2 linked regions of the Macaca fascicularis genome follow. The protein of the gene in region 1 binds, or shares a complex with, the protein of each later gene. Links are inferred from orthologs where the notes say so. Each region holds a gene or a part of one and is shown in the gene's direction. Other genes may lie near its edges.

Region 1 (3,812 bases):
GTTTGTTTTTGAGTACTTACGTTGTTCAAATCAGGAGCCAAAGTCCACACGTTGCTAGTGATTTCATGTCTCTTTTCAGTCTCTTTTTAATACAAAGTGTTTCCATCCTGTTTTGGTTTTTACTAATCAATTTATTTCTTGAAGAAAACAAGCTATTCGACCTGTAGAATTTCCCACATTCTGGACTCTGCTGTTGGCATCTTTATAGTGTCATTTAACATGTTCTTCTCCTATGTATTGCCTGTAAACTAGTGGTTGGACTAGAGGGTTGTTAAGAGTCAGCCTCAATTTTTTAGAAAAAAGACTCATTAGATGGTAGTGTGGTCCTTCCTATTCATCACCATTAGGAAGCACACAATGTCTCATAGTAATATGTTAGCTTTTGAAATAATGATTCTAGCCCAGCAATTGATGATAATTGTCAAATCCATTACTTCATTAGGGGTTTATCTGTGTTTCCTGTCAGCTTCAAGGTACTACATTTGCTCTTTCAAGTCCAGGTTACTTGTAAGATCACTTTGGTCTCCTAGATGCTTCCTAGTGATTGAATTTTCCAAAGCTCCAGCTAACTGTTCTCTCCATGAGTTCTAATTGAGTTCTAATGGAGCACATGCACAGGGGATTTTCTCAAAGAGACTTTGCTCTTTGAAAAAAGCCAAGCCAGGTGCTGTGGCTCATACCTGTAACCCCAGCTACTTGGTAGGCCAAGGCAGAAATATCGCTTGAGGCCAGGAGTTTGAGACCAGCCTGGGCAATATAGCAAGACCCTGTCTCCAAGAGCCAGGGTAGGAAGTATTTTATCAGAGTAAGGCCTTAGGGGAAGGGGAAGATATAAAGGCTGTCAGAATAGCTTCTTTGGGAAAATAGAGAAAAAGACTTTTCCTTTAAAACTCTAGTCTTTTGTTGCCTTGTGGTTTTGATGAATTGGCAGGGAATATGATCATATAGTTGACTACATTGGAGAAGGAAATGTTCATGAAAAAGAGATTTTAGGCCAGGCACAGTGGCTCATTCCTGTAATCCCAGCACTTTGGGAGGCTGAGGCAGGAGAATCACTTTAGGCTAGGAGTTTGAGATCAGCCTGGGCAATATAGCGAGACCCTTTCTCAATTCAGAAAAAGAGACTTTAAATCCATCACTTGGATCCTAAGTTTCAACATGCAGCTTTTTTTTGTGACAAGGTTAGGAGAGTTCTTTCCCTATTACAACAAAAAAACCCTCCCAATTTGGGTTTTTTCAGGCTGAGAAGTGCAGAGAGTGCCTTTAGCCTCTCACCTGCACTTAAGACCTCAAGTATTATGTCAGCCAGTCATCTCAATAGGTTGAAATGGTGCAGTGTTGCCGGGCACGGTGGCTCACGCCTGTAATCCCAGCACTTTGGGAGGTTGAGGCTGGCAGATCACCTGAGGTCGGGAGTTCAGGACCAGCCTGACCAACGTGGAGAAACCCCATCTCTGCTAAAAATACAAAATTAGCCAGGCATGGTGGCATATGCCTGTAATCCCAGCTACTTGGGAGGCTGAGGCAGGAGAATCACTTGAGCCCAGGAGGTGGAGGTTGTGGTGAGCCGAGATTGTGCCATTGCACTCCAGCTTGGGCAACAAGAGTGAAACTCTGTCTCCAAAAAAAAAAAAAAAAAAAAGAAATGGTGCAGTGTCATGTTGAAGTTTGCTTTCTAGAGTTTTAATGTTGTCCAGAAATTTAAGTTTCAGAGACTTGAGAGCTACAGCCTCAAGGAGAAATAACTCCCCATTCGACAGCCTTATGATTATCTCCCATTTCAGATTGCATCCCTCAGTCACATAAAACAAGACATCCTAGAACTGTTTCTGTTGACACTTCCCTGTGACTAGTTACCCATCCAGGGATGCTGAACTAACCCATCTTTTTTCTGCCTTTGTCTTCAGGAGCCAATGAAGTGCTTTTGGTGGTTGGGGGCTTCGGAAGCCAGCAGTCTCCCATCGACGTGGTAGAGAAATACGACCCCAAGACTCAGGAGTGGAGCTTTTTGCCAGTAAATAATGGTGAAACCATTCGTTGGGAGGGAGCTTAAATGTCCTCAGTCTCTGGGTCCAGATCATAGCTAATCCAGCCTTAGGAGTAGAAAAGCTATTCGTTGGGAGGGAGCTTAAATGTCCTTAGTCTCTGGCTCCAGATCGTAGCTAATCCAGCCTTAAGAGTAGAAAAGCCTAATAACAGGATCATGTTTCTTACAGCAGTCTTGTGCACATAGTAGGTACTCACTAAACAGTTTTTGACTGTTTAGATTAGAAGATTATGCCTTAGTAATGTCAGTGGCCCTGTGTCAAGGTAAACTCAGATGGCCACCACTAGTTAGGTGCCTTGCCAAGCTGTCTGTATAATTCCCAGCACATTTCATTGGTCATGCTGTGTTAAACTGAACTGAATGTTAAATTGTGTGTAATTGAACCTAGTGTTCAGTTGAGCTAAGTTTGGGCTGGGCATGGTAGCTCACACCTGTAATCCCAGCCCTTTGGGAAGCTGAGATGGGAGGATCCCTTGAGGCCAGGAGTTCAAGACCAGCCTGGGCAATATGGTGAGACTCTGTCTCTACAAAAAAGTAAACAAAAAAATTAGCCAGGCATGGTGGTGCATGCCTGTAGTCCTTAGCTACTTGGGAGGCTGTGGCAGAGGATTGCTTGAGCCCAGGAGTTCGAGGTTGCAGTGAGCTGTGATTGTGCCACTGCAGTCCAGCCTTGGTGACAGTGAGATCCCAACTCAGGAAAAAAAAAAAAAAAGTTTGTATCTGTCTTCCTCAGCATGTCTCTTTCAGTGCTGAATGAACAATAGTACTTTCTAAGAAAACATGGAAATCCAACCCTTCTACCTTTTAAGGTTCTTGTAATAAATCCTGGCCCTTTGATTAGCAGTGTGGGAATACTTTTCCACTTTATGGAAGGATATCAGTCTCTTAGCCCAGTGCCTTATGGAAAAGAAAGGAGTCAGATACTAGATAACAGAAGACTGTTAAATCTTTTGGAAGCCTTGGAAAGAGGCAGATGTGCAGAAAGCTTGTATCTTTAAGAGCACCACAAGCATTTCGTTCAGTAGATAGCTATTTGGGAGCCACTTGAGGATGAACCACTCAGGGAGGGTTCATGATAACAGGTGAAGAAGCATAGAGGTGTGCAGATGCAACAGGGAAGATGGCAAAAGGTAAGGCCTAAAACTTGCCTAACTGAAATGCTCTGTACCTCTTCTCTCCAAATCCATAGAGCATCACTCGTAAGAGACGTTATGTGGCCTCAGTGTCCCTACATGACCGGATCTACGTCATTGGTGGCTATGATGGCCGTTCCCGCCTTAGTTCAGTGGAATGTCTAGACTACACAGCAGATGAGGATGGGGTCTGGTATTCTGTGGCCCCTATGAATGTCCGACGAGGTCTTGCTGGAGCCACCACCCTGGGAGGTAGGCTGGATGTGCAGGGCAATTATTTCCATCTTACTGTGGCTGGACCAGGGTTTTTAACCTCTCCTGTTGTCTGGCAGGAGCATGAAATATGGAGAAAAAATTAAGGTCAAATGTTACTATTATTTGAGATAGGGTCTCTCTTTGTTGCCCAGGCTGGAGTGCAGTGGCACGATCACGGCTCACTGCAGCCTCAACCTCCCCAAGCTCAAGCGATCCTCCCACCTCAGCTTCCTGAGTAGCTGGGACTATAGGCATGCACCACCATGCCCAGCTATTTTTTTGTATGTTTAGTAGAGACAGGGTTTCGCCATGTTGCCCAGGCTGATGTCTTACTCCTGAGCTCAAGTGATTCACCCGCCTCGGCCTCCCAAGGTGCT
Region 2 (3,812 bases), on another chromosome or scaffold:
CAGGTGCCTGCCACCATGGCCAGCTAATTTTTGTATTTTTAGTAGAGATGGTATTTTGCCAAGCTGGTCTTGAACTCCTGACCTCAAGTGATCCTCTCGCCTCAGCCTCCCAAAGTGCTGGGATTACACGAGCCACTGTGCCTGGTCTAAGGGTTGGGTCTTGGGATGTTTCTCACCTCCTTAGGCCCCGGTGGCCCGGCCCCGAATGAGTGCCCAGGAGCAGCTGGAGCGGATGCGCAGAAACCAGGAATGTGGACGGCCCCTCCCTCGCCCGACCTCCCCGCGGCTCCTCACCCTGGGAAGGACACTGTCCCCAGCCAGACGCCAGCCTGATGTGGAGCAAAGGGTGAGGAGAGGAGGACTGGGGCTGGGCGGTGGGGTGGTAGTAGGTCCTCTTCGCCTACTTTGAGTCCCTTTCTGTAAAATGGAGATAATGCCTACCTCCTTACTCCAAGCTGGATTTCCAGATTTACCTCAGTTTGTACTTGTGCTAAAGTCAGCTTCCTGGACTGGTTAGTGGTGGGTGGACAGGAGTGGCAGTGAGGGGAGGACAGTGGGTGGGGGCGGGGGGTCGCAGATCTGGATTGGAAGCCTAGTTTTTCTTCTCAGTTGCTATGTGTTGTCAACAGCAAGAAAGCAAAAAAAGAAAATGTAAGACAGCAAGAAAATTGATTTAATTCATGCCCTTTCAGTAGGGAGAACATCCCAGATCTGAGCATCAGAGTGTCTCAGATATCTCAGGATGGTTTCCCCTTAGATGTTTTCTTTTTTTGGCCGGGTGCGGTGGTTCATGCCTGTAATCCCAGCACCCTGGGAGGCCAAGGAGAGCGGATCACCTGAGGTCGGGAGTTCGAGACCAGCCTGACCAACATGGAGAAACCCCGTCTCTACTAAAAATACAAAATCAGCTGGGCGTGGTGGCGCAAGCCTATAATCCCAGCTCCTCGGGAGGCTGAGGCAGGAGAATCACTTGAACCCAGGAGGTGGAGTTTGCAGTGAGCTAAGATTGTGCCATTGCACTCCAACTTGGGCAACAAAAGTGAAACTCCGTCTCAAAAAAAAAAAAAAAGTGTTTTCTTTTTTCGAGGACGAGGTCTTGCTCTGTCTCTCAGGCTGGAGTGCAGTGGTGCGATCTCTACTCACTGCAACCTCCACCTCCTGGGTTCAAGTGATTCTCGTGCCTCAGCCTCCCGTGTAGCTGGGACTACAGGGATGCGCCACCACATCCAGCCAATTTTTGTATTTTTAGTAGAGACAGATTTTCACCACATTGGCCAGGCTGGTGTCGAGATCCTGAGCTCAAGTGATCCTCCTGCCTTGGAAGGAGGTGCTAGGAATACAAGTGTGAGCTACTGCACCTGACCTCCCCTTAGATTTTTTTTTCTTTTTTTGAGATGGAGTCTCCCTTTGTTGCCCGTGCTGGAGTGTAGTGGCGGAATCTCGGCTCACTGCAACCCCTGTCTCCCAGGTTCAAACAATTCTCCTGCCTCAGCCTCCCAAGTAGCTGGGATTGTAGGCCCACGCCACCATACCCTGCTAATTTTTTTGTGTGTTTTTAGTGGAGATGGGGTTTCACCATACTGACCAGGCTGTTCTTGAACTCCTGACCTCAAGTGATCTACTCACCTTGGCCTCCCAAAGTGCTGGGATTACAGGTGTGAGCCACTGCACCTGGCCCCTTAGACTTTTATAGAAAGGATTTAGACAGTCACGGGGGTGGTGGTGGAGGTTGGATTTCTGAACTCATGTGCTGCTTTATAGGAACACAGGTAAAGTTAAACATTGTCAGTCGCTGGGTGCTATGGCTTACCCCTGTAATCCCAGTACTTTGGGAGGCCGAGGCAGGAGTAAGAGACCAGCCTAGGCAACATAGCAAGACGTTGTCTCTACTAAAACTAAAACTAAAAATAATTAGCCAGGCATGGTGGTGTGAGCCTGAAGTTCTATTTACTCAGGAGGCTGAAGCAGGATTAGTTTGAGCCTGGGAGGTTGAGACTGCAGTGAGCTATGATCACGCTGCTGTACTCCATCCGTTCTAAAAAATGAATAAATAAAATAAATTTATTTTTATTTTTATTTATTTATTTTTTTTGAGACAGTGTCTCGCTCTGTCGCCCAGGCTGGAGTGCAGTGGCCGGATCTCAGCTCACTGCAAGCTCCGCCTCCCGGGTTTACGCCATTCTGCTGCCTCAGCCTCCCGAGTAGCTGGGACTACAGGCGCCCGCCACCTCGCCCGGCTAGTTTTTTGTATTTTTTAGTAGAGACGGGGTTTCACCGTGTTAGCCAGGATGGTCTCGATCTCCTGACCTCGTGATCCGCTTGTCTCAGCCTCCCAAAGTGCTGAGATTACAGGCTTGAGCCACCGCACCCGGCCAATAAATTAATTTTTAAAAATTCAGTGCCTACGGAAGCATAGGAAAAACAAAACAAAACATTGCCAGTGTTTTTGGGCAATTTCATTCTCTTTTGGAGCCCCTTCACTTCACCCTCAAAATGAGAATGTGGGGCTTCCAGGTGAGGAGTTCTAATGCCCCAATTCCTTTCCAGCCTGTCGTAGGACACTCGGGAGCCCAGAAATGGCTCAGAAGCTCTGGGTCTTGGAGTAGGTAAGGAACTGGAGGGCGTATCAAGGGAGCAGGAAAAAAAAATTTGCATAAGCAAAGGGGAGTAGCATTATTATTGGTCTCCTGAATATGGAACTACAAATCGCAACCCTTCTAGATATGCTTACGTTCCCGGGGCATCTGAAACAAAACCGGAAAGCCCTAGATCCGTAGTGATATCTTTAGTTCCCCAAATTCCCTTGGTCAATAGCATAGCCTGCTTTTGCATCAAGGAAATTGGGTGGTAGTGATTTCCGAATGGACTACAAATCCCATAATGCATGTGGGCGGTATGAGGGCGGTGCCATGTTTAACATCTGTTAGAGACACGTGCTAGGAACTACAACTCCCAGAAGGGCACGCGCGGTACCCGGGTCCCCACTGTGCGAGCTGTTCAGTTTTTATTTTTATTTTTACTTTTGTTTTGTTTTTTTTGTTTTGTTTGTTTGTTTTTTGAGACGGAGTCTTGCTCTGTCTCCCAGGCTGGAGTGCAATGGCACGATCTCAGTTCACTGCAACTTCCTCCTTCCGGGTTCAAGTGATTCTCCTTCCTCAGCCTCCCTAATAGCTGGGATTACAGGCGCCCATCACCATGTTTGGCTAACTTTTTTGTATTTTTTAATAGAGACTGGGTTTCCCCATGTTGGCCAGAGTGGTCTCGAACTCCTGACCTCAAGTGATCCACCCGCCTTGGCCTCCCCAGGTGCTGGGATTACAGGGATGAGCCATCGCACCTGGACTGTTTTTTTTTTTTAAATTTTTAATTTTTGTTGGTACATAGTGGGTGTACATATATTTACGGGATAAATGAGATGTTTTGATACAGGCAGGCAATGTGAAATAAGCACGTCATGGGGAATAGAGTATCCATCCCCTTTCAAGGATTTACCCTTTGATGTATAAACAATCCAATTACACACTTTATTTTAAAATGTACAATTAAATTATTATTGACTATAGTCACTCTGTTTTGCTATCTAATAGTAGGTCTTATTCATCCTTTTCTTTTTGTACCAATTAACCCTCCCCACCTCTCCCCCATGTACACACCCCACCCCCAATCTTCTTTTTTTTTTCTAGTCCAAGGAACACCACCCCTTACTTGCCGACTTCCGAAGGTCACCGGGAGCGGGTTCTCAGCCTCTCCCAAGCCCTGGCTACTGAGGCGTCGCAGTGGCACAGAATGATGACAGGTGACTGGCTGGGGAT

Evidence for each region.
Region 2: the proteins of KLHL12 (region 1) and PLEKHA4 are in contact, whole or in part, in a crystal structure (PDB 8OIO), measured with the Homo sapiens proteins. The link is inferred for Macaca fascicularis from reciprocal best matches to the Homo sapiens genes KLHL12 and PLEKHA4. Residues at the interface, in NP_067646.1 of Homo sapiens: Phe289, Arg320, Glu417, Tyr434, Ile439, Phe481, His486, Cys511, Tyr512, Tyr528, Leu533, Cys558; in NP_065955.2 of Homo sapiens: Pro177, Gly178, Gly179, Pro180.

The regions. Positions count from the first base shown.
Region 1 is NC_088375.1:60,647,145-60,650,956, reverse strand, and holds part of KLHL12 (kelch-like protein 12), read left to right. Parts: intron 1-1,907; coding exon 1,908-2,014; intron 2,015-3,236; coding exon 3,237-3,432; intron 3,433-3,812. UniProt on the Homo sapiens protein: Substrate-specific adapter of a BCR (BTB-CUL3-RBX1) E3 ubiquitin ligase complex that acts as a negative regulator of Wnt signaling pathway and ER-Golgi transport.
Region 2 is NC_088393.1:56,823,728-56,827,539, reverse strand, and holds part of PLEKHA4 (pleckstrin homology domain-containing family A member 4), read left to right. Parts: intron 1-184; coding exon 185-346; intron 347-2,547; coding exon 2,548-2,606; intron 2,607-3,683; coding exon 3,684-3,796; intron 3,797-3,812. UniProt on the Homo sapiens protein: Binds specifically to phosphatidylinositol 3-phosphate (PtdIns3P), but not to other phosphoinositides.